Oryctolagus cuniculus: one gene and its partner. The protein of the gene in region 2 purifies or fractionates together with the protein of the main gene of each other region. This does not show direct contact. Links are inferred from orthologs where the notes say so. Each region holds a gene or a part of one and is shown on either strand. Other genes may lie near its edges.

Region 1 (15,798 bases), on a different chromosome or scaffold from region 2:
AGGCCTCCAAGCCTGGCCTGGGGTGGGGATGGGGGGTGGGGTGATGAAGGAGGGGTGGAGTCATCATAAATCAAGAAAAAAAATAAAATAATAAAATAAAAAATAAAACCCATCACAAAAAATGTACAACTCAGGTGAGGGCAGGGTGGCCTCTGCGGGACTCCCCCCCTCGATTTCTCAAGAACAGAAACAGCAGAGAAATAAATTAAGGGATGCAGTGGCCGCCACCAGCCAAGCGCCCACAGCCACTCACTCCCACGCCGGCCGCGGAGGTTAGCAAGCTGGGAGGCACTTCGCCCACCCCGTCCCCCACCCCGTGGCCCTGCCGCCCGATCCAGGGGAGGCCCTGGACAATGTCTCCTGAGAGGAGGGCGACAGCGTCCGGAGAAGGCGAGGCCGAGATGAGAGTGGTGCGGACGAGCCGGTGCCCGGATTAATGCCAATGACGGGGACGCACTGGGAGGAGGGACGTGAGGGGCTGTGCTTGCAGACAAAGGCTCTCCCAGAACGGAGAATGCCCGCGTGCCCTGCGGGGAGCCAGCAGGGGGCCGAGGAGCCGGCTCGCCCTGCGGCCCCTCCCCTCTTCCAGCCTGGGGTCGGGCCCTTCTACCAGGAGGGGTGGAGAAGATGGCACAGACTTGAGGAGGGGAGCCAATGTCCCCACAGCAGCTAGTGGAAGGGAGTGCCCAGCTCAGCAGGGAGGGGCAGGGGTGCTGCGTGGCCCTCCGCCCGGCCGCCCAGGGGCTCCCGGGCTCGAGGGCAGGGGAAGGCCACCTCTGGTGGTTCGCTTGGAGGGGAGGAGGGGAGGAGGGGGAGATAAGCCCGAAGCGGGCCTGGCGGAGGGCCTGACCGGGAGCTCCACCACTCTTGCCTGAGAGTGTTCCAGCCCTGAGCCACCCTCCCGGGAAACCCCACAGATCCAGTCTCAACTGTCCCAATGGGGCAGGGAGGAAAGGTGGCCGCTGGGTTGTTTTTTTTTTTTTTTTTTTCTTTTTGGTAATAAAAAAATTTCTTGGTTTAGGCGAAATACTCTGTGCAACCGCAGTACCGAGGGGAGCCCTGCCCCCCCACCCCTCCCCTTCCTTTGCCTCCTGTGGGGGAGCGAGGGGAAGGAGGAATTTCTGGGCGGGGGCGAGTGTGGGAGAGGGAGAAGAGCCATCTCCCATCCCCCACAAACGTGGAAGAAACAACCCGGAAGGAAGGCCAAGGAAGGCCGGCGGGAGGGGCCCGCCCGCTGCAGTCTGGCCCACGCGCTCGCTCGCGCCCGCCGGCCCCGCGGCCGGTTAAAGCTTCAGCTCGTTGGCTATTTTAGAGGCAATGTTTTTGAAGGCCATGGAGGTGCCCGATATCCGCTTGAAGCGGACCCCGTTGAGCGAGAGCCGCGGCAGTTTGCACACCTCCATCTCCCACTGCACGAAGTCCTCGTGGCCCGGCGCGCCGTGCACGCACAGCAGCATGTACTTCTCGTGCAGCTCGCTCTGGCAGCTGTTGGCGTCCAGCACCTTGCGGATCTCCCGCATCATCTCGTTGGGCTCCATGGAGCTCGTGGTCTTCATGCTCCACGTGAAGCGCAGCGAGCGCGGCTTGGCCTCCCGGAACTCCTCCTTGTCCTTGTCGTTGCCGCCGCCGCCCACCATGTGAGGTCTGCGGGGAGCAGGGGCCGTGTGAGGCGGGCGGCCGAGGCACCCCACCCACGGGAGAGCCACCCTGGCGGGCAGACCCTGGCCCAGAGAACAGCGGGGGGAGCAGCGCAGGCGCACGAGCCGGAAGAGGGAGCCCCGAGACCCTGGCTGAGGGGCGCAGGACTTCGCTGGACCAGGAGAGCCAGGGAAGGGGCGCTGGGCACTGCCTCCCGGAAGCAGCGGCGCCGAGGGCACTCATCTGCTGCCCCCACGGCCCACCCCAGGGCTCCAATTTCCAGACCTAATGTAGCGGGGCTCGGGAAAGGGAGGCCCGGAGAGGGTGGAGACAGGGCAGAGCCACCGGAGGAAGAGCCGGGTGGCAGAGGAAGAGACGGACAGGAGGCTTGTGGCAAGCCCAGTGGCCCGGGCAGGGCCAGTGCTGGCTCCGGCCCTCTCACCTGAGCGTCTCCACTCGGTCTTTGCTTTCAGGTTCATTCAGGTTCCTCAAAAAACAGAGCGAGGGAGAGTTTAGTGCTGGGTCTCTCGCTCCTTCCACCACCACAGACCCAGGTGAGGGTGGGTCTGGGAAGGTGCTGCCCGCCGGTGGGCAGGACCTGAGCCAAAGGCCACCTGGCCACATCTGCGGGCCAACAAGGCTCTGCAGCACCTCCCACTGGCAGCCTGACAGTCCCTTTCCAGGAGGGAGCCCAGCATAGCCTGCCCCTCCCACACTCCAGAGCAGTGGGCTGGGGAGGAGGAGCCTCTGCTGGGGCGGGGTCCACGGGGCACCCAGAGCAAAGGCGCTGGGTGCAGCATGAGGCGGGCTCCCCACTGGCCCCAGCCAGCGCTCACGTGAGCGTTCGTGCCAACACACGGGGGTCTTGGACTGCAACGTTTCCAACTCTGGGAGAGCGGGGGTCTCGGGGACATGGAAGCCTCTCAGGAGGCTTCCAGTGCCAAGGCCTGGAGGTGTATGGAGGAGGCCTGGGGGTGGGTGCCGGCTGCCGCGTGGCTGTGACTCCCCAGCGGCCGGGCCGCCTGCCTGCAGGAGGAGGACGGGGCAGGGGGAGAGGTCTGGCCCCGCTGAGCGGCTTCTCCAGCTCCTGACTGCAAGATGGGTGCTGGGAGCCGGGAAATCGGGGAATGCGGAAGGGGGAGAGGACGGCAGCAGCACATGTAAAAGGGACACAGAAACACGAGAGACACACACGATGCCAACAAGTGCACTGCGAGCGGGGAGCCCGGCGGTGCAGGGGAAGGGGCCCTGGCAGCTCTCCCTGGGCCTCCAGCAGGGCAAGCCCCCATCGTGGCCCCATGGCACAAGCACCAGCCATGCAGTGGAGGGCTGGGGGGCACGGAGCGGAGAGTGGGGAAAGCCTGAAGATCCTGTCTGGTTTCTCCACCAGCTGGGGCACCCATGTGCCTTCTGGGCGCCCCAGCCCCAGAGCGGGGCCAGGCTGACACCTGGGGAACCAGGGTCCCGAGCCACCTTCCACCTGCAACTTGGCATTGGGCCCACCCAGGCCTGCAGAGAGGATGAGGAGAAGGCCGGGCTGAAGGGCCAGGAAGGGCGGAGCCTCAGTGAGGGTGCCGTTCTCCCCGTCTTGCCGTGACCAGGCGTGACCAGGCGAGGAGTGGCCCCTGCCCTAGAGCTGAAGGCCGCATCCAGGGAAAACGGCCAGCAGGAGAGGTTCCAGTCACCGCGGTGCTGGTGCTGCGGCCGGCCCCTGTGTCGGCCAGGTTGGGGGGGGGGCTGCTTCTGCAGAGCTGCCAGAAGGGGGTGCTGTGCCCCACTTGTGAAGTCAAGGCTCCCTGGGCAGGCCTGGAGGAGTCAGACCCAAGCTGGGGAACCCGCAGTCGCTCCCGCCCCAGCCTTTCCATCCCAGAGGCCAGGGGGAAGAAGCCACACAGCCCTCAAGTTCAGGAAGCCCAGGAGACCCCGAACGAGAGACCGTCCCAGATGCACTTGTAACCCGGTGCAGCCTCCTCGTAGCGCATGCACATGGCAGGGGAAGGGCCAGGGGGAACCCAGTGCTGTGACCCAAACCTGGGGGCGGGGTGAGGGGAGACAATCTTAAAGGGAGAATCCCCGAGGAGGTCTCCCTGGCTTGAAGACAGCACCACGGTGTCTGAGGAAGGGCCCTCCCTTTCAAAGCCATTCGCCCCGAGGGCCATGTGCTCAGAGCCCACTGTCTGAGGGCAGGCTTGGTGCTGACCCGCGGCCACACCAGGCTTCGTCCCTTTAAGATGGCAGAGGAGGACCACACAGACACGTTAGCAGATGGCCACGAGCCAGAACCAGAAAAGGGGAGTTAGTGATGGAGCAGGACACGGGACACACACACACACAGCGGGCTCAACGCCTACCTTCTGGCAAACCTGAAAGACAGATTTCTAAAAAAAACAAACAAAAAAAAGACAAAATAAAAAAAGAAATAAAAAAAACCCAACAAGACGGTGTGTGGATAAGCAGGTGGGGAGTGGGCTTTACAGGTTCAAAGGTCGCCCCCAGTTTTGGAAGAGCCGCTCAGCGAGACTAGAGTCCCAGACTTCCAGGTCTGCGCCCTGACACGAGGCAGGCAGGAGCGGCAGGCAAGCCTGCTCTCTCACAGCCCCTGGCCTTCCAGAACTGCCAGTCCAGGGGGGACACGGGGCACCCAGGAGGCCAGCTGGCTGGACGCACCTCAAGGTGTGCCTCTGGTGACTGGGGACTCACGATGTGAGACATTCCCTGACGAGACCCCCACCGGGACCCAACACAGGAAGGCCTCATCAGCTTTGGGGCTGGGGGCGGGGAGGCTCCCACAGGTCCCACAGGCTGTTTCATTTAGGGCCTCCCTCCCGGGAGCCCCTGAAGAACTGGCTGCAGTGGAGGGGAGTGACTGGAGTCAGACACGAGCAATTGTGGAGGCGGGGAGAGGGGGTCAAAGGGGGCCAGATGAGAGACCAGGAAAAATTTCCTCCCTGGCCCAGCCTGGCTTAGGCCTCATGACTTTGCAGCTGCGTCACCAAATATAAGTTTCCATGGGAACCCAGGAGAGAAGAGGGGGCTTTTATTTTAGCATCTGAGTTCACACTCTCCTGGAGAGGAGGCGGCATGGGCCATCTGCTGGGGCCAGAGAATGAGGGGTGCCTATGGGGAGTTGGGGAGAGACCTAAGAGGACGGGCCTGGGCACACAAGGCGTTGACAACGACCCCATTTCCTAGACTTCACGGGGCCTCTTTTAACCCCAGGACCCAAGCCCAGCTCTAGGCATCCCCACCCCTGAGCAAACAGGAAGGCCTGGCCTCAGCCTCTCTGCCACCCTGCGCTCCCTGCTCACCTGCGTACAAACTTGGAGGTGAACTTGCTGAAGATGCTCCCAGAGGCCCCCCGCCGGCCCTGGCTGTGGCCAGAGGGAGAAGCTGGGGTCACACCGTAGGGCAAATTCTGCTGGTCCCGCACTTGCCGGAGCTGCCCAGCATGGAAGGTGCTTCGACTGGACACACCCCGGGGGAAATTCGTTCGGTCTGGGGCTCCACCACTGCTGCTGATGTTGTGGGCGGAGGGGGAGGCGACAGGGACACGCTGGGGGGCTGTGCTGTGGGGAGAGTCGGGGTAAGGGGAACACATCAGGGCACAGGACAGCCGTTCGCCACTGGGCACCTGCAGCGCCCCGTGGTGGGGCGGGGGTGCTACGGCAGAGGCAGCCATCACGGAGGACACAGAAGGAAGGGTGTGACCACTGAGGACGGCGGCAGGGAGGAAGGCTCCCGGAGGAGGAAGACGAAGGACGGGGGCGGGGGGGGGGCAGGGAATGACCCGTGTGTGCAGAGCAGCGCAGGCTGCAGAGCTGGCTCCCTCAACTCTCAAGGGGACAGTGGGGACCAACCCTCAGGACGCCCCCAGGATGCTGACCATCCCCGGGTCCCTGAGGAAGCCCAGGCAGGCTCAGAACAAAGCAGCCTCCCTCGGAGCCGCAGGCCTGCTTCCCGCACAACTGTGCTGAGGGGAGACCCGCGCAAGAGGGACACGGATGCTCTTTTCTGTGCCTTCCACTTCCTGGCTGCGGGGGCCAGAGCCGGGCCCTGTGGCTAAGAGGACAAGAAGAGAGCAGGCCCCCCCGGAAGGAAGTTGCTGGGGGCAGGGGGAGGGCAGCAGGTGCACCAGCTGCCCCAGCACACTTGCCTGGGCCGCGGCACCTCACAGTTACTCTCCGTGGGGGGCAGCCCAGAGGCCTTGTTGGGGTGCACGGAGGCCGACATGGATTTCTGGTGCTGGCGGGGCCGGGCCGCAGAGACTGCGGCAGAAGCAGAAGCCGTGGAGGCCCGGGACCCTGGCATGGTTAGGCTAGGAGACAAAAGCAGCGAAGAGGCCTGGGTTAGGGGGTGGGCGAGGGCTGAACGCCCGGATTAGGAAGCAAGGGCAGGGAAGGGCCAGAGCTGGGGATGGCAGTGGGGTACGGGTCAGGCCCGGGGAGCAGTGAAGGGGCGTCAGTCAGATTTGAGGATCGTGCAGGTGGGGCGTGGAGGGAAGGGGAGGAAGCGGCGAGGGAGGCCAGAGCCTGGGAAGAGGAACTGGAAGGAGAGGTGACAGGAAGCACTGCCTCCGGCTGCCTTGGTCTCCTAGGGAGTCTAAGGTCCAGGTGTCTCTTCTACAGGAGGAGTGCAGTGTTGCTAAGAACTGTCAACAGGCGCAGAAGAGGGGGCGCCCAGCACACAAGAAATGCACACGGTCAAGGTCAGGGGCACGCTGCAGCCACCCTCAACGGGTACACCCCTGAGATGGGCTGTCTCTTGGTTCTGCCCTGGTCTGGAGCCCCAAAGACAAAGCCTCAGGCGCTGACGCATGGAGTGGGCAGCAGCCACGCCCCGGCTGCCGTCAAGAAGCACAAAGACTGTGGAGATGACCACTGGGAGCCCCCACTCGGTAAACTACGAGGAGCGGTCGGAGGAGGAAGGGGAGGAGATGGCGTGGAGCAGGGCAGGGAAGGTGGACAGCCAGACGGAACAGAGCCAGGACAGGACTCCAGGGAGCGGGGGCAACGCTCGGGCGGGGGCGGAGACGACGCTGCTGACAAACTTCACCGCCGGAGAGGGGCTGCCGAGGAGCGTGGCGGGCAGGCCCAGGCAGCTCACCTGTCTTTGCCGTTCTGGATGGAGGCCTGGCCGAGGCTAGCCCTCTCCAAAAGCGGGGAGTTCCTGCTTCGATTTGTGCTGGCGGAGAGGACGCTGTTCTGTGGGGAACGAAGGGAAGAGCTGCTCTACAGTCAGGCTCATGCAGGGCTCCCCGCCACCTTCGCCTCTGGCAGGCGCCACGGTCAGATGGGACTCTGCTCCCCTCTTGGGGCTGCGCTTTCTACAGTGAGCAAAAGTGGCCACCAAAGGGATGAGGTCTTGGATTCAAGAGCTGCTAGGGGTGAGGACTGTGGCACGGTACATTAAGCCGCAGTCTGTGGCACCGGCATCCCATATTGGAGTGCCAGTTCAAGTCCCGGTCCAGCTCCTTGCTGGTCCGCTGGGGAAAGCAGCAAAGGATGGCTCACGTACTGAGGCCCCCGCCACCCACGTGGGAAACCTGGATGCAGTTCCAGGCTCCTGGCTTTGGCCTGGCCCAGCCCCAGCCGTTGCAGCCATTTGGGGAGTGAACCAGCAGATGAAAAATCTCCGTCTCTCCCTCTCTCTCTGCCACTCTGCCTTTCAAATAAATAAATCTTTAAAAACAAACAAACAAACAAAAAACCAAAAACAAATAAAGAAAAGAGCTGCTTGGGGAGGGGAGGCAGTGGGGAGGACAGGAAGGGGGGCCTGGGGCTGATGGGCGTGGCTCACCGTGGAGGGGGTGGGGGTGGTCTTCTTCCTCTCCAGGCCGGGCAGGGGGCTGGCAGGCACTTTGGCTGTGCTGCTGGCCTTCCGCCCTGGCTCCCGGTCTTCCTCAGGCCTCTTATTCTCGGCATTGTTGCTCTGAGTCTTCTTGGAGTAGGAATTGGAGGTGGGAATGGCAGGACCAGCTGCAGGACCAGAGGGACCGGGGGTGGGTGGGTGAGGCGGAGTGCGGAGTGCCGGTCCGCTTGCAGGGCTCCCCTGTGCCTGCGGGCAGCTCTGCCTCCCCACTTCACAGGGGCTGAGGAAGGCTGAGGGACTTGCCCACAGCCGTGCTCCCAAGTGGCTAAGCTGGTACAGAGGCTCAGCCGTGTGCCTCTAAACCTGCGGGAGTACAGCCTTTGCTGCAGAGGGCGAGTCCTACTTACCAGCCCCAAGGTGCTTACCCTGGTCACTGAAGCGCCGCTGCTTGGGGTTGGCCGAGACACTGCGCTGTACCTTGTGGGAGGGGGAGGGGGCACTGCTATTGGTCAGATCAGCCGAAGGCCGGGGCTTCAAGGTGATGGTGTCACCTTCCAGCTGCAAGCACAGAGAACATGGCTTCAAGGGTGGGCAGAGGGCTTGTGGTGATCTTCCTGGGTGGACTCATGTTCACGTCCCACCCTAGTCCAGCACACACACACACACACACACACAGCCCAGGCTCCCATGGGACGTCACTCACAAGACCAACCAGTACCTACCCATACCTCCTCCATCCCAGAGACACCTGTGCCCTGGCACAGAACCTGACAACAGACAGACACAGCCAAGGACAGCACCCAGAAAGACTCCCATCCTTGACAGAGACACACATGCCCAAACCCTGGGAGACACTAACACCCAGGAGAACACACGTCAGACCCAGAGCTGCCCCTTGCCCACACACAGCGATGTGGGCCTGAACCGAGAGCGGGGGCCACCATGGCCACCAGCAGGGTGGGGACACATGGATGCTGGACCAAGCCCAAAGGGGCAGAAGAACAATCACAGAGCTGCCAGACCTGCAGACAGGACGAACACACAGACAGACAAGACACAGCCAGACACAGTCACAGGCAGAAGCAACACACAGGCTTCAGCGTCCTGTTAGACACAGAAACCTCCCCAAACCCAGAGCAGCACCCATCCGACAGACAGAATCACAGACACCCGGACTGACACAGAACTGCCAATCAGAGGGTCTGGCCCACGCGAATCAACTCACCCACATGGAGCCCAGACTGGGCCCAACCCCAAGCCCACCAGCTCTTACCCAGCCCTGAAGGAGATCAGTGAGAGGCCAGAGGGCCTCAGACAGCAAAGCTGACGCTTAGAGGTGGCCAGCAGAGAGCACACCTACTGGAGAGGCGCATCTTCCCGACCGGTGCTAAGAGCATGGGGTGCTACCGATGCCGGGTCAGGGTCAGGGAGAGGGCGGGGAGCACTAACCTCAGAGCTCTTGTAGCCCAGGAGCAGGTAGGTGGCCATCACCTCGTTGTACTTCTGGCCCACCAGCGAGTCCTGGATCTCTTCCCGTGTGTAGCCCATGGACACCATCAACTCTGCACGGGGGACACACAGTTAAGGCTGCTCCTGACCCCCGGTAGCCGCAGCCTCGCGGCCCAGCACGGCCTCACCTGTCCGCCGGGGGTCCTTGTAGTCAGGAAGGGGCTCCACGTAAGGCTTCAGCTCGTCGTCCTCGTGACCCACGTTCATCCAACGGTCTTTCATGATTTGCTGGGAGCAAAGGGAGGGAGAAAGGGCAGGGGGAGGACACTCAGCTTGGGGGTTCCCCTGGGAACCCCGGGACCTCCAGCCAGTGGCCTCCGGGCTGCTCACCTCTAAAGTGCCTCTCTTGCTGGGATTAAGAATGAGAAATTTCTTCAGCAGGTTTTCACAGTCCGTGGACATGTAGAACGGAATTCGGTATTTTCCTCTCAGCACCCGCTCCCGCAGCTCCTGTAGGAGCACCCAGGATTAGCAAAGTTCACCCATCTCAAGGCCAAGGGAAGAAACCCACCACCCAGGACCCTGGGAGCGTGACACTGGCCATGCTGCCAGCAACAAAAGCTGGTAGAAGGCAGAGAGGCTGGCACAGAGAGGCAGAGGAGCCAAAGACGCTCTGGCATGGCCAGGGAACGCCAGGCAATGTACCCTTTCCCTCGGGAAGGAACTGTCAGGCGCCCGTAACTGCTACCACCTTAGTAAACCCTTCTCAGAAGCTCTGGCTTCGGAAAAATGTACACAGGCACAGGTGAGGGGTCCGGGGAAGACCAGAGGCCAAGAGGAAATGCGAAGTAGTGAGCATGTGCTAAGCTCGCACTGCACTCCACCTTGAGGTTCTGTCCGTCAAAAGGCAGGGACCCGCTGACCAGTGTGTACAGGATGACCCCCAGGCTCCATACGTCCACCTCGGGTCCGTCGTATTTTTTGCCCTGGAAGAGTTCTGGGGCAGCGTAAGGGGGACTGCCACAGAAAGTGTCCAGCTTGTTCCCAAAAGTGAACTCGTTGCTAAAGCCAAAGTCTGCAATCTTGATATTCATATCAGCATCCAAGAGTAGGTTTTCTGCCTGGGAGGTAAGAGGGAGAACATCAGGGGGGTGCACCACACTGAGGCGCTGCGTAGGGAGGAGCTGAGGGACACAAGGAAATGACCGGCAAGTTATCTTCTCTCTGCCCACTCCAGGCAGGGCTCCCATGAGCGAGAACAGGCTGGGCAGGAGGAAGGCGTGCAGGCCACTCCTCACTCAGGCAGCCGCAGCAGAGCTGGGATCTGCAGGCTCAGGGCCCTGAGCAGTGTGCGAAGCCTCTGCGCCAGGCCCAGGTTAACCACGTCATGTCTGCAAGGGCGGGGCAGTCACGAAACACAGGCGGCCTCAAACTGGAAGCCCTCAGCCACAGAGGAGGATGTGCGGGCCTGCAGGAGATGCACCTACGGACACGCTACATCTTCCCCTTCGCCAGCCCCGAGGATGCCGGGAGACCAGGAGAACCTGGGTGGCCCTGCCATGCCCTGCACTGCCAACTGGAGTGGGAGCCCCAGCCCAGCTGCGAGGCTCCTATCAGAAGCACTCCTAGGGACTTCCTGCTCAACTGGTCTGACTGTTACAGCCAGGTGAGGCACCGACACCACCCCATGTCCGAGCACCTGGCTTTGAGTCCTGGCTCTGGTTCCTGATGCCAGCTTTTCGTTAACGCGCACTCTGGGAGGCAGCAGTCGATGGCTCCCGTACCTGGGCCCTGCCACTCAAGTGAGAAGCCTGGAACACGTTAACTCCCAGCTTTGGCTTGGCCCAAGCCTGGCCTTGTGGCATTTGGGGAGTGAACAACGGTGATGGGAGCCTGCCTTCAAATAAACAAATTTGTGTGTGTGTGTGTGTGTGAATAACTGGCGGGGGTTCCCGTCAACTCTCGGGCCCTGAGCATTACTGACAAGCCAGCCTGCACTCAGAGGCACAGGAAGCAGCGTGCACCTCACCTTCAGGTCTCTGTGGACAATGAACTTCTGGTGACAGTACTGCACAGCAGACACTATCTGGAAGGAGGAAGAAGGTCAGCCTGGTGCCCGATGGAGCAAAGACCGCGACACCGAAGCGCCCAGCCTGGGGCCCGATGGAGCGAAGACCGCGACACCGAAGCGCCCAGCAGGAGCCGCCCCCCCCCCCATGCCGAGGGCAGGGGAGGTGGGGCAGTGACAGCACGGAGGGAGGCGCACCCACCTGGCGGAACTTGGCTCGAGCCTCTTTTTCTTTCATCCGGCCGTGAGCTACCAGGTAATCAAACACCTCTCCTGGGAGAGACGGGGTGGGGACGGGTCAGGGCTGGGAAGGCTGGGGGAGAGGGCACCCACCAGGAAGACGCAGCTCCACACCTACCGCCACTAGCATACTCCATGACGAGATAGAGGGTTTTCTCCGTCTCAATCACTTCAAATAATTTAACTGCAAAAGAAAAGGCCAGGCGCTGCATCAGAGCAGCAGCAGGAGCCCGTGTTGAGCTCTGAGGCGTACAGGGCATCCGAGGGGCGGAGGCCCCCTCCCCAGGACCACCTCCTCTCACCCCTGCCAAACTACTCAGCTCAGCTCAGTGTCGGCCAGAGATGCAGCTGCCTCCGAGCTGAGCTCCCCCGGAAGCATCCCTGGCAACTCAGGACTCCAGAGGGCCCCGCGCGCCGGGAGGAAGTGGGGCCTGGCCGGAGGAGGAGGTGCGGCTGGTTCTCACCTATGTTGGGATGATTCAAAACCTTCATAATTCTCACTTCGCGGAACAGCTGGAAAGCAAGACACCAGGGGTCAGGCTTGCCCCGCTGCACAGGGCCCTGCCAGGCTGCTTTCCCAGAACCAAAGCAGGCAGGGAAGAGGGCAGAAGGGGAAACAGGAAAGGAAGCAGGCTGGCGCCTGGCAGAGCGCGGGCCCGCCCAGCTCAGGGGTGAAACGTGCGCCTCCAGCCTGGTCTGGGGTGGGGGGTTCCAAAGGGGACCCCATCATGGTTTTTTGTTTTCCCTCGTTGTATGATGCACACAAGGCACAGCGCTCTGTACTAAGGACTGGGCCTTTCTCTCCTGGGCCCGTGAGGAAGGAGCCACTCCTATATATAGCTGATGCCAATTTTAATCAAATCCACCTCCACACACTCACGCTGTCTTTGTGAAACAGAAATCAGGGGCTCCCAACCACACATTTCCATGAAGAAAGATGACAGAAATGAGTCCTTTCCCTTGGCGGGGGCCAGAGACCTGAAAGGTGAGGTTTCTGTGACTCCCAGGCCTCGCACCCACACTAACAGCAGAAGGGAGGGATACAGCGTCTGGAAGGGCGGACCCACGTTTCCCCCTCAGGGTGTCCAGGAGCTCGTGTAAGCTGGACGAAGGGCAGCAGCAGCGTTCCTATGCCCAGCAGCCGCACCTGCCGGAGCCCCCGCTGGAGCCTGGGTTCCAGCTTCCTTCCCGGCTCCACAGCTACTCTGGATGAAGAGGCAGAAGGTCCTGCACACCATGTGAGGGCGCAGCACCGAATCGGGCCAGAGGAGCTGCAGGGCGCCCCCTTGGCTTGCAGGGGGCATTGCCTGGGAGACCCTGGGTTTTCTGGGTTCCTCTAGAACCCAGAGGGGCTAACTTCCTCAGAGACACCTTTTAGAGATCCTCGCCGGGGCGAGAGTTAAACAGTGCTTTGGCCGGAGTTGGATGGCCTTGGTTCAGCGCGGGTTGTATGTATCCGATGCTGGTGCCTCTGGCCAGTCAGCAAGAAGGAAGCAGCAAAGGAGGCAGGGCTGGCGACCACTGCCGTGCCGCGCTAGGCAGCTCCACGGAGCCGGCGGCCCACCCCAGGGGGCCCGGACTTCTGTGGGGTCAGAGCCAGACTTTCAGGGCAGCCCTCTTCCCCTTCCTCCTGGAAAGCTCCAGGCAGGGAAGCAAGCCTTGGTGATGACAGCAGCGGTTCCCCTGGATCCAGGAAACCTTGAGGGGCCCCAGGGACGACAAAGACAGGGACCCCCTTGCCTCTGGTTGTCCCTCCACTCTCATTTCATAAGCACCTCCCTCATTAACAAGTGGCAGCTCCAGCCCCAAACTCCTGGCATCACCTATCTGTCAGCTCACAGCCTTGCCCTCCGCCCCTCGACTCCCAAAGAAAAATGCACTGGCCACGCGCTGACGAGAGCTGGGTCTTGGTCAGAGGCTGAAAGCCAGGGTCAGCGGGCCACGAAGGCACCAGGGAAATGTGAGTGCCCCCGAGTGGGGTAGGCTTTTGAAGCCACACAGGAGCTGCCTCCGTCCCCCGCAGCCGGGGCCCGGGACAGAGAGCTTCCAGCTCCACAACCACCCGGTCAGTGCCCGGCTACCTCCCTTCTGCAAATCAAAGTCTCCCTTTCCTTTCCCTCTCCTCCCAGGCTGCAACTTCACCGGCAGAGGGCTGTGTTCCCAGCTGGGGGTCTCCCCCCAGCTAGGTAGGACCTCACTTTCCGGCTGTTCAACAAGAAAGGAAAGGAAAGGGAAGTTCATCCTCATCTAGCAAAAACTACACGCAAATGATTCTGACCTCTGGCCACGAGGAGCCTGGAAGTAAAAAAGGAAAACTGGGAGGACCTGTCTTTAATCTGGAAATTAGAGTTCAGCGTCTCAACTCTAGGCTACAATGTGGCTGGCACAGGAGTCGGGGCAGGTCCCTGCTTCCTCTTCTCTTCCCTGCACTTTTAGGGCCACTCCCCGGAATCATTCCGGGTCTTGGAGCAGCTGCATGTATTTGTAGTAATGGCTGCAAACACGTATTTTTGCGTAGGGCTGGGCACAGACCAGAAGGTAGCCAGATGCAGGCAGGAGGTCAGACAGCTGGGCCATGTGGCTGAAAAGGAGCAGAAAAACCTGCGGAGTCAGTGTCTGTGGCCAGGACGCCCACCCAGGAGGGGCCGCCCCGGGGGATCCAATCAAGGCCTCAAGGTGGGAGAGCCGGGGGAGCAGAGGCTGGGGAAGAAGAGGAGCCAGAGGTCTTCACTAGGGGCTCTAAAATATAGTTTGAAAAAGCGTGGACAAGCATACGGTACAACAAATTCGAGAGTCAGGAGAAGGCCCAAATGGAACGGGGACGCCACCAGCCCTGAAGGGAGGTCTGCCAGGGGCCAGCGGCCGCCCGGTGCTTACTTTCTGGAGGCTGGAGGAGTTCAGCTGAGTCTTGTCGATGATCTTCACAGCTACCTGAGCATTAGACAAGAAACAAAAGCACAGACACAGACACCAAGATGACCTCTTTGAGCAGGTGAAAGCCAGGACCCGAAGCTACTTCCTCCTCTATGTGCCTGTTGATCTCACCGCTTTTAGCGCCCTTGTGGGCCTGAAAGGTGGCTGCAGCCCTGGCCCCGCCACGACCTGCTGGCGCGCCACGTCCCCGCCTCAGCGCTCACCTCCTTCCCAGTCAGGATGTGCCGGGCCAGCTTCACCTTGGCGAAGTTGCCCTTGCCGATGGTCTTGAGGAGCCGGTAGTTGCCGATGTGCGGCTGCTCGTCAGCGGAGGGGGCCGAGTTGCGGCCGCGCAGCATGTTGGACTTACTGCTGGGCTTGGAATCCAGGTGTCCCAGGGTGGGCTGCAGGGGAAACAGACACTCCTGTACTCGCCGCCCCCCCAGGCCCCTCACGCCTCGCCTTCAGCACTCTGCGAACAGTGCAAGAGGCCAGGGTGCTAGGGCAGACTCCAAGGGGCTGGGAGGCACGTGAAGGATCACGAGGCAGCGGAAAAGACAGAAGGGGACGAGAAGACAGCCAGTGTTCTCTCCAGAGAGCCGGTGGTGCAAGAACTGAGGCCCAGAGCGTGTCATCCTGGATCCACGGATGCCCTGTGGATGCCAATAGCCCAGCAGCTCCTCGGCCACCTGCAGTAAAGCTGCCGGCGTGACATGACCAGAACTGCCTCAGGGCCCTCCTGCCACCCAGCCCGTCACACCAGTCTGCTGTTCATCACCTGACAGGTGTTTGTCACGTCTCCTAAGGAGCATGGCAGCCCACGAGGGCCGTCCTGTGCCCCTCATCCATGGACCACCCACGCCCCGACTGGCTGGTCAAGGCAGTGGTCTGCCCGGCTCTGCTCTCCTTGGATGCTCCACAGCCCAAGTAAGGCTGCGAGGAAGCAGAAATCACAGCAGGCACTGAACAGGTACAAGACAGCATAAAAAAGGACGTGGTCCAGGAATACACTATAACCACACTTCAAAACGCTTATGGAAAAGGAGAATTAAGAGGAGGTTTATCTTGGCAAAAATACCACAACAAAACAACAAAACAAAACAAAACCACCCTAAACTGAAATCCATGCACAGTTGTTTCCTAAAATCCGTTTTTACAAGAACCTGTGTGTCTGAGGCGCTGTACAGACTCTGTATGGTGCCCATGGCAGGGTGACTGTACGATGCAGCAATTCCACTGCTAGGTGGACGGCAGAGGAGCTGCAAGCACGGTCACACAGCGGCCTGTGTCAACGTCCCGTGCACAGCACCCAGACGCCCATCAGCCAGCGAATGGAGAAACACACAGGGCACGGCAGCCGAGGCAGTGAAGGCGGTGAAGGCCACGTGCCAGGACAGGGCAGGCTCTGGGCTGGCCACCGGGGACCACACATGCTGCAGGATTCCTTTGACGTGAAGTGTCTGGGACAGGCAGATCTACAGGCAGGGAGGAGACCAGCGGCTGTCCAGGGAAGAGAAGGGTAAGGAAGACCTGACGGTGACAACTAAGGGGTGTGGGGTTTCTTTCTGGGGTAACGGGAATGTTTTAAAGTTGCACAGTGATGATTATACAACTCTATGAATTTAATAAAAGCCACTCAACTGCACAGCTTGTTTCTTTACAAGAGAACAAATCTACTTTTA
Region 2 (15,898 bases):
GCACCGGCATCCGATATGGGTGCCGGTTCTAGTCCCGGCTGCTCCTCTTCCAATCCACTCTCTGCTATGGCCTGGGAAAGCAGTAGAAGACGCCCAAGTCCTTGGGCCCCTGCACCCACATGGGAGACCCGGAAGAAGCTCCTGGTTCCTGGCTTTGGATCGGCGCAGCTCCAGCCATTGCGGCCATCTGGGGAGTGAACTAGCAGACAGAAGACCTTTCTCTGTCTCTACCTCTCTCTCTGTAACTCTGTGTTTCAAATAAATAAAATAAATCTTAAAAAAAAAAAAAAAGTCACATGGGGCGGGGGCAGGGAGTAGCGGTGCTGTGGTGTGTTAGTTAGTTAAGCCACTGCCTCATATCACATGGGTGGCAGTTCATGTCCTGGCTACTCCACTTCCAATCTAGCTCCCTGCTGGCGCACTTGGGAAGGCAGTGGAAGATGGCCCAAGTGCTTGGGTCTTGTACCCATGTAGGAGACCTAAATGAAGCTCTTGGCTCCTGGCTCTGGCCTGGTCCAGCTTTGGCCGTTGTGGCCATTTGGGAGGGGAACAAGAAGACAGATCTCTCTCTCTCTCTCTCTCCCTCTCTCTGAAACTATCTTAAAAGTCAGAGTTACAGGGACTGGCGCTGTGGCATAGCAGGTAAAGCCGCCGCCTGCAGTGCTGGCATATGGGTGCCAGTTCAAGTCCTGGCTGTTCTACTTCTGGTCCAGCTCTCTGCTATGGCCTGGGTAAGCAGTAGAAGATGGCCCAAGTGCTTGGGCCCCTGCACCCGCATGGGAGTCCCAGAAGCTCCTGGCTCCTGGCTCCTGGCTTCGGATTGGCCTAGCTCCAGCTGTTGTGGCCAACTGGGGAATGAACCAGCAGATGTAAGACCTCTCTCTCTCTCTCTCTGACTCTGCCTCTTTATAGCTCTGCTGTTCAAATAATAAATAAATAAATATATATATATATATATAGTAAGAAAAAAATTAGGGGCCGGTGCTGTGGCGTAGCAGGTAAAGCCACTGCCTGTAGTGTTGGAATCCCATATGGGCGCCAGTTCAAGTCCCAGCTGCTCCACTTCCGATCCAGCTTTCTGCTATGGCCTGGGAAAGCCACAGAAGACAGCCCAAGTTTTTGGGCCCCTGTACCCCCGTGGGAAGACCTGAAGGAAGCTCCTGGTTCCTGGCTTCGGATCAGCACAGCTCCGGCCGTTGCGGCCAACTGGGGAGTGAACTAGCGGATAGAAGACCTCTCTCTCTCTCTCTCTCTCTCTCTGTCTCTGTCTCTCTCTCTGTATAACTCTGACTTTCAAAAATAAATCTTAAAAAATTAATTAATTAATTAATTAGTTTTTTAAAAAGGCAGGATTACAGAAAGGGAGGGAGAGTCAGAGACAGAGAGCTATCTTCCAGTCCTGGCACCTCTACTTTTGATCGGCTCCCTACTAAAGCGTCTGGAAAGATAGGGGAAAATAGTACAAATACTTGGGCCCCTGCCACCCATTTGGGAGACCCAGAGCTACTGGTTCCTGTCTTTGGCCTGGTCCATCCCTGGCTGTTGCAGCCATCTGGGCAAGGAACCAGCAGATGGAAGAACTCTCTCTCTGTCTCTCTCCCCTCTCTCCATTTCTTTCTGTTGTCCTGCCTTTCAAATAAATAAATAAATAAATAAACCTTTTAAAAATTAAATTAATAAGTCACATCATGAGTTCTGAAATAAAAGAACATACGAATAATAGTAAAAAAGAGAAGAAAACAAAGACCCTAAAAACCTGATGAAAAGTGGGCAAAAGACATGAACAGAAATTTCACAGCCCAGGAAGCACAAATGGCCAATACACCTATGAAAAGATGCTCAATTGTGCTTGTAATGAGGATAATTCAAATTAAGGGCACAATGAGTTTTATAACCAGTCTCCTGGCAAACTGCAGAAGTCCCAGGATGCTAGCTGCTCAAGAGGAGGAAGCGGGTGGGGACCCCGCTCTCCTGCGCTGAGAAACAAGTGGCCGATACCTTAGAATGATGTTTGCACATTTGCACAGTGCACAGATTCCCCTCGGGGTCATTCTGGCAGATGCGCCCTGAGAGATAGTGTGCAGGTGATTCACAGGGGCGCCTTTCAGAATAGCAGAGTGGAGACCTTCCAAGTATCCCCCACCAGCAGGATGGAATGCAAGTGAATGGAACATAGCCATTTGTCGCATTAAATTAAAAATCATGGCAGAAGAACATACAAGTTAGAGAAAATTTTGTAGAATGTGGCATCATCGTTTTAAAATTCAAAAACAAAAAATATAAGAGAGAGAGAGAGATTATTCGGGAGACATATTTGTGTTAAAACGGTTGCATGGTAAAATTCAAGACCACGGTGGATGCTGGTGGGCAGGAGTGGGAATAAGACAAGGGAGGAGTGGATAAATAAATGCAAATCTGTCCGTGGTGTCCAGCTGCCCGCCCTCTGTGCTAGCAGGCCCCGTGGGGTCTCTAAGATCCTCCTGTGTCCTCTGTGGTCCTTAGGGTTTTGGTTTGCAAGGCCCTGGGCATTCGTGTTAAGATATTATATGAAAAAGACAAGGGGCAAACACAGCCGATGATTAGCGACTCTTGCAAACGGGAGCGCACAGGTCCCATAGAAGAACAACAGAGACTTTTAAAATGAAGCACCCAAGCGGCCAAACAAAATGAAGTTTAGCGCCAGACGTGGCTCCGGACAGGTCACTCTATGGGGCCTGGTCCAGCGTCACGAGTCTCAGTTTTGTTGGCCTGTGGACCTTGCTGGAGTGCTTACTCACGCTTGCTACGAAAGCAAGAAGGAGAAAACAAAACAGGCGAGGAGATCAAGCAGAGGGCTCAGAGATTAGGGGGAGATAGGGCGAGAGTTCGTCACAGCGGTTGAGATGCCCGCATCCCATTGCAGGATGTCTGGGTTGGAGGCTCCGCTCTGCTTCTGACTCCAGCTTCCTGCTAACCGTGCACCTTCCAAGGCAGCAGGTGCTTAGGTCTCTGGGAGACCCAGACTGAGTTTCAGGCTCCATCTGGGGAGTGAACCCTTGGTTGGGAAATTCTCTCTCTCTCTCTCTCTCTCTCTCCTCTGAGTTTCAAATAAATAAATATATAAAAATTTAAAAAATAGGTGAGGAGAGTGATCAGAGCAGGGAGACTTAACAAGAGGGGGAAAGCTGGAGGGAAGAAAGGGAAGGAAGGAGAGGTGTCATCGCAGCGGGGTGGGGGGAGGCAGCCGCAGGTGCAGTGAGGCACAGCGAAGCCGGGAGAAGGGGGACCATTCGCTGGATTCACCAGCCTCCACGCCAGGCACTGCAACCCTTTCCTCATCTAACAATCACACTTTTGAAAGCTAGTTTGACCATTCTGATGTTCAGAAAGATGACATGAATCGCTCAGCTGATAAAAGAAGGATCTAGGGGTCAGCCTGACTCCAAAGTCCTGTTCTTTCTTCCACACTGCACTGGAATGGGGCCGGGGAAACTGCGGATTTGCGGAGGGAGAGGGCAGGCGGTGGGGGTGGGGTGGGGGGGTGAGGGTGGGGGTGGGGGGATGGGGGAGTGGTGGTAAGATGGGTTCTTGCCGCTTCCCTCCCAGGCTCTCCGCCCCCTCCTCAGCCTCTCTCTCCCAAGCCACAGGTGCCCCACCAGTGGGGCTGGGGTTGGACGCTCAGGCCAGCTACAGCATGGGCAGAGGGGAGGCAGCCCCCAGCCCCTGGGCTTGAGGCATCTCCCTGAGCTCAGGGGCCCTCAGCTAGCAGATCCCGTGGGGCGTCTCGGGTCACCATGTGCCCGCCGTGTCCTTGGATCCGGGTTGAGACCCTCACTCCCCGGTTCTGTTCCGGGAAGCCAGAGGCTGGGAAGTCTCTCTCCTTTCTCACGCAGCCCTCCTGTGGTCACTGTTAGAGGACTGCTGTCTTCACTTGATCTTAGCCAAAAGGTCGAGAAGCGATAAGGACTGCTGTCTTTTAGGGTGCCAGATGCCCAGTGTCACCCCACAAATGCTAAGTTCAGCTGGGAAGCGTGGGCCCCACAGAAAGAAGCAGTTATACCAACCAGGGGAACAGGGGCCTTTTAATGAGAGGAACAGAGGTACCCACATCCACATGGACACAGAATGTCTTAGAGAAAGGACAGAGGCTGGATACCAAGAGACAGGGACGGAGCTTACATTACAGACCGGGGCGCGGGGTGGGGAGGGTGGGCAGACAGAGGGGCATACAGGGCAGATTCAGAGCTGGTCAGATGGGGTCGGAGTGGCGCCTGGGCACACAGAGACCCCGCAGCTGGCAGAACAGAAGAGGCACAGAGCGGCGGGACAGGCGCGGGGCAGGAGAAGGGGAGTGAGGCGGTGGCCTCCGTGGGGATCTGTCTGTCCATACCGGGCGGGAGGGCTGGCCACCCTGGTGCTGCAGTCCCTGAAAGACGTCCAGATCCTCTTGGCTCTGCAGTAAGGGGGTCTCCTGGGGGCCTGGGCATCCCGACGCCTGCAGTCGCCTCCTGAAACACACATTGCCACCGCTGCCCTGTGTATCCAGCAGCCAGTGACGGGCACCAGGGAGGAACACCGCCTCGGCCCAGCCCTGCCGCTTGCCCCCAGCCCAGCCCTTCCTGTCGGCAGGCGAGGCACAGCCCAGACCCAAACTGGCGCCTGAGGCCTTGGCAAGAGCTGCAGAACTGGCTGCAGACAAGGGTGCCCCCTGCTGGTCAAATGACAGTACAGCAGTCCAGAAGAAAGCCGGTGTGGATGGGGAGGTGAGGGACAAGCTGTGTTTTCATTCCTTGCCTGGTTTCTGATGCTCACCTTTGCCCTACCCAGCTGAACAGTGCATTCAGAGCCCCTGTTGCCCTCTTCCCAAGGCTAGATGGATAGCACCTTAAAAACCCAAGGCTCAGCTGGCACCACATAAGGGGGTACCCAGGACATCTCTGCAGGCACTGTACCCTCTCCCCCCCATCCTCCTCCGTCACTCTGCAGCCAGCCCTGCCCAGGAGCTAGAAGCCTGGGCCACTCACCAGAGCTAAAGGCACTTGTTCCAGGGGACCCCGGTCAAGGTGGGAAAACAGGGCTCTTCCATGGCTAGCAGGCCTCTGTGGCGACCACTCACACCCAACGCTTCACACCGACCCCCGGATGTTGTTTCTGACTTCCTCTGTCTTTGGGGAAGTGGTCAGGGACTTTCCAGGGGGCGGGGGGAGAGATGGGCCCCTCTCCCCAAGTGTGCTGGCCTGCGCAGAGCTCTGTATCGGAAGAGCTGTCCTCCCCACCCCCCGGCTGCAGCACTGGAGGCTGCCTCAGCCTGGGACCCAGCACACTGGCAGGGATCTGACCGGGAACGAAGGGAGGGGCCAGGGTCACCGGGGAGACACCTGTCTGGAAGGCGGGGCTCAGCCTCCCCAAGGGCCTACAAGAGGCCTGGAAGGACACGGACTCCAGGTCTCCTCAACTAGTGTCATGCTTCAGAGATGGTTGTCTGGGGGCCCAGCATTGTGGCGCAGCAGGTGCAGATCCAGCTCCCAGCTAAGGTGCCTGGGAAAGCAGCGGAAGAGGCCCGAGTGCTTGGGCCCCTGCACCCATGTGGGAGACCCAGACAGAGTTCCAGGCTCCTGGCTTCAGCCCCGCCCTGCCCCAGCCATTGTGGCCATTTGGGGAGTTAACCAGTGCATAGAGGATCTCTCTCTCCCCTTTTTTCCCCCTCTCACTAACTCTATCTTTCAAACACATAAAATAGATCTTAAAAAGATGGTCGTCTCTCTAGGGAGATAGTTGGGGTGCCAAGGACACCGGAATATTACTTCCTAGGCTTGAGGGAAGGAGGGACAGAGGGGACCCTGCGGCTTACCTGCTCAGTGGGTCCTGGCCAGGCCCCCAGCTGTGCCTTTTGAAGGGGTCGTAGCCACGGCTATCGGCCCGGAAAGCCCCCGACCGCCGGAGGGGCACTTCATGGAAGACATTCCTCGTCTCCGGCTCCTTTCCTCCCTTGCCCTCTTCCTCTTCCTCCTCCTCTTCCTCCAGCTGCTCTCTGGATTCCACTGCGGACAGAGAGCGGCGAGTGTGGCCCTGGGGCCCCACGTCTCCATCTGCGAGGAACACTTCTGGGACGGCTCTGTTCATGGGAGGCACGCTCAGGCCGGCCTGTGCCGAGAACAAAGGTGATGGTGAGCAGAGTTCTGGAACGCTGGGCGCTCGGAACCAGCAGGATGTCACAGGCAGGCAGGCCCCGGAGCGCCTGCGTCACCCCTCACTTCACTGAGACACGGAATTGGAGCAGGGCTGGCTCAGGGCCAGAAAGATCTAGACCCTGGGTCTTCTGGCTCCCAGTCCAGGCTCCTTCCTAGATCAAACAGAACAAGCACCTTGGTGGCAAAAAGGCAAGCCAAGGGCAGCAGGTGTTGTTCCAGGCCTTAGTGAGTTCAGTCTAGGGTATGAGCACATGGGTGTGAACACACACACACATGCACACACTCATATGCATCCTTATGTGTGTACACAGGGAAAAGTGATGACCCGGCTGCAGCATGCCGAGTGCTGTGGAAGTCTCCACAGAGGGCTCTGGGCTGCCCACGGAGCCAGCAGAGACTGTGAAAGGAAGTGGAAAGAGGCAGGCAGTCTTGGAGAGCAGCCTGGAGGGCGCGGATTTGGCCAAGGGGAAGATTCTAGGCTGATTCGGGAGGAGGAAGGGAGAGGGTGTTATGATTTCTTCCTTGTAAGCTCTGGTCCTGTGGGAAGTCAGGAAAGCTGTGTGACATATGTCCATGTCACAGAGAGCAGGACTCCAAGCATCAGCCCCATCGCCCCACCCCCTCCCCGGGGGGCCCAGCCCTCACTGCCGCCAGCACTCCACTCCCGGTTTGGTTGGCATCGGGGCTCACCTCGGTGTATCTCAGCGTTAAGAACTCTCAGGGGCTGTTGAAGTTGCAAATGATAAGCCCACTCCAGCAAGCAGCAGCAAGAGCCAGGAGCACCTGGATGGTGCAAAGGCAGGAAGGGAAGTGGCATTTGCTGTGCGCCTCTGGGCACTGGCCCCCATCTACCCCCGGGGGCCGAGGCTCTCCAGCCCGGGGCTGCCGGGATGAGGGTACCAGGCTCCCTGTCTCCCCTACCACTCCCAGCTACTAAAGTGTAAGGAGTGCCCAGGAGGACCAGGAAGCTATGAATCAGTCTGCTCCTCCCAGGCTTTCCCCACGTCGGCCGGGAAGTGCAGGTTGTCAGAGACTTGTCCCTTCCACCTACTTTCCCCTCTCAGCGCACGCTGGCCCCTGGCCCCACCCCATCTGGAGCTGCTGGGAGAGAGTACTTGGGCATCCTCGGGCGACTGTGGGGAGGAAGGGAGAGAGGCGCTCAGGCCCCTGAGGATGGCACATGCCGCTGCCCTCGGGGTGGACCGGAGGTGACAAAAGGAGAGGCCTGGGAAACTGGCCCAGGCCCTGTGCCCACCCATGCCCATCTTCCTGGGAGCGGTGCAGAGGGAACCCCTTGGCCAGCCCCCAGGGGAGATCCTCTGGGAGGGGCAGGGGAGGGGAAGAGCAGGACCTGCAGATGCTCACTGGACACGACAGCGACCCAGGGGCACTGGCAGGGTGTCGCGTGCTCTGGTGTCCTGGGAGCACCGAGAAGCAGAAAGGCCCCTGCGGTGCTGCAGGATGGACTCGGGCACGCCGGGTGCTTCTCGGTGCCTCCTGCCCCTGCCTCAGGAAGAAGGGCGAGCGCCACCGCTGACCTGCACACCGTGCTGTCTCCTGCCCCTCTTCGGCCATCCAGCAGGACCAGCTGGAGTCTGGGCTCCTCTCTAAGGTCAGCCTTTTCCCTGCGTCACTGTCATCCCACTCACCGGCTCCACCCGCTGTAAAGACGACTCAGCGTCGTCCTGTTTTCTGACCTCTGTTCCACATGCAGTAATGCCAACACTTCACACTCTTTCCTTCAAAAGATAAGGCTTATGGGGCTGGTGCGGTGGTCCAGCACGGGTTAAGCCATTGCCTGTGATGCAGCATCCCAAATGGACACCAGTTCTAGTCCCGGCTGCTCTGCTTCCGATCCAGCTCCCTGCTAATGCGCCTGGGAAAGCAGCAGAGGATGGCCCAAGTACCTGGGCCCCTGCTACCCACATGGGAGACCTGAAAAAAACTCCTGGCTCCTGGCTTCAGGCTGGTCGAGCCCTGGCCATTGTGGCCATTTGGGGAGTGAACCAGCAGAAGGAAGATCTCTCTCTGTCTCTCCTTCTCTATCTGTAACTCTTTTTTTTTTTTTTAATTTCTTTTATTTTTTCCTCTTTTTTTGTTTTTGTTGTTTTCTCTCTGTAACTCTGTCATTCAAATAAATACATCTTTTTAAAAAAATAAATAAATAAAAAAAATTTTTTGACAGGCAGAGTGGACAGTGAGAGAGAGAGACAGAGAGAAAGGTCTTCCTTTGCCGTTGGTTCACCCTCCAATGGCCACCGCGGCCGGCGCGCTGCGGCCGGCGCACCGCGCTGATCCAATGGCAGGAGCCAGGAGCCAGGAGCCAGGTGCTTTTCCTGGTCTCCCATGGGGTGCAGGGCCCAAGCACCTGGGCCATCCTCCACTGCACTCCTGGGCCACAGCAGAGGGCTGGCCTGGAAGAGGGGCAACCGGGACAGAATCTGGCGCCCCAACCGGGACTAGAACCCAGTGTGCCGGCGCCACTAGGCGGAGGCCTAGTGAGCCACGGCGCTGGCCAATAAAAATGTTTTTAAAAAGTTCATGGAGGTGCTGGTGCTGTGGCACAATCCTCCGCCTGCGGCGCTGGCATCCCACATGGGCGCCGGTTCTAGCCCTGTCTGCTTCTCTTCCAATCCAGCTCTCTGCTGTGGTCTGGGATAGCAGTAGAAGATGGCCCAGGTCCTTGGGCCCCTGCACCCATGTGGGAGACCGGAAGAGGCTCCTGGCTCCTGGCTTCAGATCGGCATAGCTCCAGCAGTTGTGGCCATTTGGGGAGTGAACCAACGGAAGGAAGACCTTTCTCTCTGTCTCTCCCTCTCACTGTCTGTAACTCCACCTCTCAAATAAGTAAGTAAAATCTTTAAAATAAAAAGTTCATGGAAATGGAATTAAAAATAAGTTGGTGCATTTTGAAATGCATGCACTTTTTTAATAATATGAATTTTCCATGAATTTTTTGAAGGCCCTGCATGTAATGCCTATTTCTGCTTCTATCTGGGGCCCTTTTCTCTCTCTCGATGTGCCCACAATAACAATACTAATAGTGTTTGCTGAGCGCCAAGTGCAAGGCTACTTGCATTGCACACGTTATCAGTTATCAGCAAGTCCATCCACATCCTCACCAGGGAGGCGTTATCATTCCTGTGATTTCACAGGCAAAGCTGAGGCTTAAGAAGGTTGGGCAACATCCCAAGGTCACGTGGCTTTTGAAGGTGGCGGAGCTCGCAGATACGACGCGTTTCAAAGCCCTGCACCACCTTAAAGGAATTACAGTCTCCGAGTTTTGAACAATGGGTGTCTCCCGGTGTTAAAATCCTGTGTTGCTCTTTTTTTTTTTTTTTTTTTTTTTTGACAGGCAGAGTGGACAGTGAGAGAGAGAGACAGAGAGAAAGGTCTTCCTTTGCCGTTGGTTCACCCTCCAATGGCCGCCGCGGCTGGCGCACCGTGCTGATCTGATGGCAGGAGCCAGGAGCCAGGTGCTTTTCCTGGTCTCCCATGGGGTACAGGGCCCAAGCACTTGGGCCATCCTCCACTGCACTCCCTGGCCACAGCAGAGAGCTGGTCTGGAAGAGGGGCAACCAGGACAGAATCCGGCGCCCCGACCGGGACTAGAACCTGGTGTGCCGGCGCCACAAGGCGGAGGATTAGCCTAGTGAGCCGCGGCGCCGGCCTTTTTTTTTTTTTTTTTTTTTTTTTGACAGGCAGAGTGGACAGTGAGAGACAGAGAGAGAGAAAGGTCTTCCTTTTCCGTTGGTTCATCCCCCCAGTGGCTGCTGCAGCCGGCGCACCGCGCTGATCCGAAGCCAGGAGCCAGGTACTTCTCCTGGTCTCCCATGGGGTGCAGGGCCCAAGCACCTGGGCCATCCTCCACTGCACTCCCAGGCCATAGCAGAGAGCTGGCCTGGAAGAGGAGCGACCGGGACAGAATCCGGCACCCCGACCAGGGCTAGAACCCGGTGTGCCGGCGCCGCAAGGCGGAGGATTAGCCTAGTGAGCCGCTGCTCCAGCCTGTGTTGCTCTCCTAAGACTCAGTAGAAGGCCTAAGAAAGTACCGCTGACCAGTGCATTTGGCGAAGGTTAAGCTCTTGGAGGAGGGGACCCGAGACACTGCTGGTCTCGGTAACGGTGGGAAACCATGGGACACAGAGCAGGAAGACAAGTAAGGGACTTCCTAGAGCCCCTTCCCCACCCCCAGCCCCATCTCCAGGGAGCATCTGGTCCCACACCTATTTCGGAACCTCCTATCTCTCAGCAGCGGAAGCAGTGATGTGACATTAAATGTGATCTCATTCAGGAGCTAAATAAAGCTGCTTGTGAGACCCAGCCCGGGCCGCACCCTCGCAGGGTTTCCTGCGGCTTGGGAGCCAGGGGAAGATGGGAGGAAGGCAAGGGAGAGACTGGTGGGAGGGAAGGAGGGGGAGGCCGCTCCGTGGGGGCCCCAGCTGGGATGTCAGGAGATGGAGGAGGGAAGATCTCTGGCAGGGGGTTGAGGCCACCTTGTTAAATCTCATCTCTTTGTTGTTGTTGTTTTTAAAGATTGATTTGTTTGTTTGTTTGAAAGGCAGAGTTACAGAGAGAGGAGGGGAGAGAGAGAGAGAGAGAGAGAGAGAGAGAGAGAGAGATCCTCCATCTGCTGGTTCACTCCCCAAATGGCCACAACAGCGTGGGCTGAGCTAGGCCGAAGCCAGAAGCCAGGAGGCTCGTTTGAGTCTCCCACGTGGGTTCAGGGGCCCAAGCACTAGGCTCATCGTCTACTGCTTTCCCAGGCGCATTAGCAGGGAGCTGGATTGGACGTGGAGCAGCTGGGACTCAAATGGGCACCTATGTGGGATGCCGGCACTGCAGGCAGCAGCTTAACCTGCTGTGCCCCAGCACCGGCTCCTTATTTTGAGAGTGAGAATAAGTAACCCACAGGCCAAGACAGACACAACTGTGGTGGAGACCGGTCATCATGAGTGAGTACCCACAGCAAGAAGCAGCTGTCCTCTGTGGAGAGAAAGGAGGGGACAGAACAGTCTCTGGTAACTTAGAGCAGGGTTCACAGACGCTATGACCCGCGGGGCACATCTTTCCTGCCATCTCTTTTAACTGGTTGGGGAAAAAAAATCATACTTTACAACACAGAAAATTAGATGAGATCAAACTTTGTGTCTAGGGCCAGCGCTGCAGCGTGGTGGGTTAAGCCGCCGCCTGCAGTGCCGGCATTCTATATGGGCGCTGGTTCAAGTCCTGGCTGTTCCACTTCTGATCCAGCTCTCTGCTAATGTGCCTGGGAAAGCAGTGGAAGATAGCCCAAGTGCTCGAGCCTCTGGACCAATGTGGGAGACCCAGAAGAAGCTCCAGGCTCCTGGCCTTGGATTGATGCAACTCTGGCTATTGTGGCCTTTTGGGGAGGCAGCCAGCAGATAGAAGACCTCTCTCTCTCTCCCTCTCTCTGTCTATAACTCTGTTTCTCAAATAAATAAAATCTTTTTTAAAAAATTAAAAAACTTTGTGTCTATAAATAAAGGGTTTTTTTGGAACAAAGCCTTACTCATTCATTTACATATTGTCTTGGGCTGTTTTTGCCTTAGCAGCAAAGCTGGTAGTCGCGACAGGGACCGTATGGCCTGCAAAGCCCAAGATATTTATTATCTGGGTCTTTACCAAAAAAGTTGGCAGGCTCCTGGTCTAGAGCCACTGGGTCTCCAAATCTCAGTGGGGAGGAGAGAGACATCAAGCCTTGCGTTCCCAACAGAGCATTCTGCAGCCAGTGTCGGGGAGGCGGGCACACGGAAGCCCCAGCAGGAGTGGGCATGTGGCCTAGTGCTCAGGCTGTCCATAGCCCCTGTCAGAGTGCCAGCTCCGCTCCCGATCCCTGGCTCCCGCTTCTGCACGTCTTGGAAGGCGGCACACAATGGCTCAAGTGATTGAGTCCCTGCCACCCGCAGGAGACCTGGATTGAGTTCCTGGCTCCCAGCTTTGCCCTGGCCTAGCCCTGGCCATAGTGGACATCTGGTGAATAAACCAGAAGATGGAAACTCTCTGTGTGTCTCTCCTCTCCATCTCTCTCTGTGTAACTCTTTCAAATAAGTAAATCTTAAAAAAAAAAAAAAAGGAAGCAGCTTCCAAAAGAAATTAGATGGAGGTTCCAAAGAAGTTAAATTTGTCCATTCTACTCCCTCTGTTGTCTTAGAAATCTGAAGGAGGTATGGGGCAGGCAGGGCCCTCGGTTATGTTTGCTGCCAGCAACTACTGAGGCTAGGAACTGCAGATAGCAACCAAACAGCGGGCTGGCCCCGCGGCAACACTGCCGGCTCCTTAGCAGCCTGAGGGGCTTCCTGCAACTGTGTCTCGTGTCCACCCCGTGTCCCGTGTCCTGTGCTGGATCCTAAACCTCCTGAGGGTGGGCAACAATGGAGAAGACCCATAAGCCCTGGGCGGCAAGGCCGAGGCCAGCTGACGTGTGTGCTGGCTTCTCCTCCGGGGCTCCTGGCCCTGGTAGCACAGGGTCACAGGAAAGCCTTTGATGGTTCAACGTTTAACCTCCCGTAGCTTCTCCCCTGGGAAGTGAACCATTAATCCGAAGAGAGCTAACACTGAGCTTCTCTTGGCCTCAGCAAAGAAGGCCCTTGGGGGCCCCGTGCCTGCACGCTCCTGCTCACAGGACAGCTCCGTGCACGGCAGCAGCGCCTGAGCTTCTGCCACCTCCCGCCACCCCCACCCCCACCCCCACCCCCGCCAGCTGGAACGCCGGGGTCCTGGAACCCATTCTCTTCTCTGACATGCAGGTCTATGACAAGAAGGCAAAGGCTCCCCTCTGGGACCCATTCATTCAGCAAACATCACTTCAGCATCTCCCAAGTATGAGGCAGAAGAAAGAGGAACCAGAGGTTCTACATGCAAATCCAGGCAGGGGCCAGTGCAGGCGAAAGCCGCTTCCCACATCAGCTTCTGGGTTGAAAGCCATCCACCTGCTCCCAGGGCAGCTACCAAGTTTACTATCAGTTCTCAATTCTGGGTGTTCCACATGGGACAGGCAGTCAGCATCTCCAGCCCCCTAACCCAACCACACCCTGTCTAGGAAGTCAGCAATCAGGCATCTCAAACATCCACCCTAAATCACCCCCACCTCGATGATAAAATCAACCGGCCTCACACGTCAGCCAGGAATTTTTGTTGCCTTGGGCTTCCAAGTCTGATTACCTGCTTTTTGTTTTGTTTTGCTTTGTTTTGGTTATTAAACTAAACCCAGGGACTCTGTCCTGTTCCTTTCAGCAGGACCTGTAGCTGTCTGCCGATTGTACCGGGGCTCGGGACCAGCCTAGCCCGTACTACATGGGGGACAGGGAAGAAGGAGGGCCGGGCCAACCACTCCTCTCGAACCTCCTGCCGGTTTCTTGGCATGAGTTCTGGCTGCTGTGCCAGAGGGTGGGGCAAGAGGGCCTGAGGTTCAAGGGACACACCTGAGAAGACTTTGGCCACCTTAGCCCAAGCATTAACCTGTTAGCTCCCAGAAAATAGCAAGGCAGTGGGCGGAGCAGAGAACCCCCAGTCTGGTGGATGACAATCTGTAAGGCCCTAGCTCTCAGGTGTGAGCTGGTGGCTCTTTATATTCCCCAGTTAGCCCCCAGGGATCAAAGGAACCCACGACAGGATAAGAGGAAGGAAGCCCTGGGAGAATTAGGATGTCAGGCTTTCAAGATTCCAGAGACATCCTTAGTGTCTACACCTCCTGTGTGGGAAAACAAGACCAAAAAGAACATAATGGACTTTGCTATGCCATGAACTTGAATCTGAACCCCAGGCCTACAACTTTTAACTGACACAGTTAGTTATTTAACTTCTCTAAGCCATACATTTACTATAAGGATTCTGGTATGTCAACCCCATAGGATTATGAGGATAAAGAATGAATGTGTATAAAGGGTTTAGCATCATTTGCCAAACAAGCTGTGTTAATTAACCACTGGCCATGGCTGTGGTTCCCTATTTACACAGTGTGTACACACACACACACACACCCTAAGCAAACAAGGCAGCTGGGAGCAGCAGGCTGAGTGGAGAAGAGGGGCTCCTGAAGACACCTGCTCCCGGGGAAGACCCGGCACAGAGAGGAAGGCAACTCACCGGACCCGGGAGAAGTCCCGAAGATGGGGCACCTGTTCCTGCCCTCAGGTGGGGACCTCACTACAGGGACAAGTCCTGTTTCCAGTGGTCCCTTTAAGATTCCAGTCCAGCACCTTGATGGGGGGGCCTCTTTCTTGGTCCTGTGAAGGGAGCTGCTCATGGTCCAGGAGTTTGCATGGGAGACAGGGCACTCATTCCAGCGCAGACCAGTGGCCTCTTCAGCTCCGCTAGCCCTTCCCTTCCCCGCCCTACTTCAAACACCCTGGACAGTGCTGTGCACGGGCCTTTAACCCCTTCAGTGCCAGCGCTCCAGCCTCAGCAGGCCCCGAACAAAGGATGGCCACAGGCTCTGGGAGGCTCGTCCCAGGGAAACAGGTGCAGGAAGCCAAAGTGGGGTCATCCTGAGGGCAGGGAATGTGGGAAGCTGACATCCCAGGGCACTTGCCCCTTCCCTGCAGCAGGGACCAGGGAGAAGCTGGGGCGGGGAGGAGGCCTCTTGGGGAGAGTCCGGGGATGGAAGGCTAACCGGCCAGGTCCTCATGGGGTTAGCAAAGTCCTTTATCCGCTCTCAAATTCAGCTTCAAAGCTGCTTGTTGGTCCCTTTAAGAGGCAGGTTCCAGCAGGACAGGAGGAAAGATTTTTTTTTTTTTTGCGTGTGATGAAAGTTCAGGGAGGAGCCACTGAGGGCAGCTACAGCTGACCAGGCCTGGCCTCGCCTACAGGAACTGGAGTGACCAAGCAACTCCGCACGGCTTGTTGTGGATACAGTCGGTCGGCCTGCAGGGTATTTGACCAACTGCCTCCCCCCACTTCCCTGATAGCAGCTCCCCAGGGTGGGGGCGCTGACTCACCCTCCCTGCTCCCCCCAGGCAGAGGACAGCCAGCGGGGCGAGGTAACTGGTAACAGGAGCCCTCCTCTGCCGGCCAGTGATGTAGTGGAAGGTGCGCGCTGGAGCTGGCAGGTCCTGGCTGGCTCTGCCGACTCACGGGTTACGGGGCCTTGGAGGAGTTAGTCTCCTTCCCACCTCTGTTAGAGCCCGGGTCTCATGTAAGCTCATGTAGATGGTGGCGCAGGAATGCCAGCCCATGGTAGCCGGCATTGAATACACAGGCTGCAGCTTGTGGGGTTAGCTCGAAGAAACCATTCCGCCCTGTCCCTCGGCTCGGTTACACGAGATTAAACTAGGTGATCCTCGGTGGATCATTGCTCTCCAATTCGCATTCCAGGTGAGAGGAAGAGGGCAGCTGCCGCCAGGTGCGCGACCACCGTGTGTAGCCTTTCCTAGCTGGCCGGGCCCATGCTTCTCACTTCCTAAGAACACAGGGAGACGCCTGCCCACCCTGCTGGGGCGGGGCAAGTGGGGCAGGGCGGGGGCGGGGGCCGGGGGCCGGGGAGGGGGGGGACTCTGAAATCCTCCAGTGAAACAAGCTCACCACGGGCCAGGCTCTCCAAGTGGGAGTCATTTATCTGCGGTCCCAGCCCGTGCAACTGGTGGACTTGGGGCTGTACCTGGCCCTCCGGCCCCCATGGCCAGTGCCACCCTGAGCTGCTCTCTCATGAGTTTTAGCCTTGCTGAATTTCACTGACTTGCCCCCGGCTCCCTTTAGTGGAGTCCTGT

Evidence for each region.
Region 1: the proteins of ARHGEF2 (region 2) and MARK2 purify together in Homo sapiens (affinity purification with western blotting; 3 studies listed by BioGRID and IntAct, with this or other methods). This does not show direct contact. The link is inferred for Oryctolagus cuniculus from reciprocal best matches to the Homo sapiens genes ARHGEF2 and MARK2.

The regions. Positions count from the first base shown.
Region 1 is NC_091432.1:7,296,404-7,312,201, forward strand, and holds the end of MARK2 (serine/threonine-protein kinase MARK2), read right to left. Parts: intron 14,521-15,798; coding exon 14,341-14,520; intron 14,135-14,340; coding exon 14,081-14,134; intron 11,717-14,080; coding exon 11,668-11,716; intron 11,388-11,667; coding exon 11,322-11,387; intron 11,237-11,321; coding exon 11,166-11,236; intron 10,982-11,165; coding exon 10,925-10,981; intron 10,017-10,924; coding exon 9,780-10,016; intron 9,406-9,779; coding exon 9,286-9,405; intron 9,184-9,285; coding exon 9,084-9,183; intron 9,009-9,083; coding exon 8,896-9,008; intron 8,005-8,895; coding exon 7,872-8,004; intron 7,614-7,871; coding exon 7,435-7,613; intron 6,840-7,434; coding exon 6,742-6,839; intron 5,954-6,741; coding exon 5,792-5,953; intron 5,205-5,791; coding exon 4,947-5,204; intron 4,017-4,946; coding exon 3,990-4,016; intron 2,126-3,989; coding exon 2,081-2,125; intron 1,645-2,080; coding exon 1,284-1,644; 3' UTR 967-1,283; downstream 1-966. UniProt on the Homo sapiens protein: Serine/threonine-protein kinase. Involved in cell polarity and microtubule dynamics regulation. Phosphorylates CRTC2/TORC2, DCX, HDAC7, KIF13B, MAP2, MAP4 and RAB11FIP2. Phosphorylates the microtubule-associated protein MAPT/TAU.
Region 2 is NC_091438.1:42,686,801-42,702,698, reverse strand, and holds the start of ARHGEF2 (rho guanine nucleotide exchange factor 2), read right to left. Parts: upstream 14,420-15,898; 5' UTR 14,280-14,419; intron 6,949-14,279; exon of another isoform or gene 6,861-6,948; intron 6,244-6,860; exon of another isoform or gene 6,124-6,243; 5' UTR 6,103-6,123; coding exon 5,831-6,102; intron 5,133-5,830; exon of another isoform or gene 5,004-5,132; intron 4,488-5,003; coding exon 4,370-4,487; intron 1-4,369. UniProt on the Homo sapiens protein: Activates Rho-GTPases by promoting the exchange of GDP for GTP.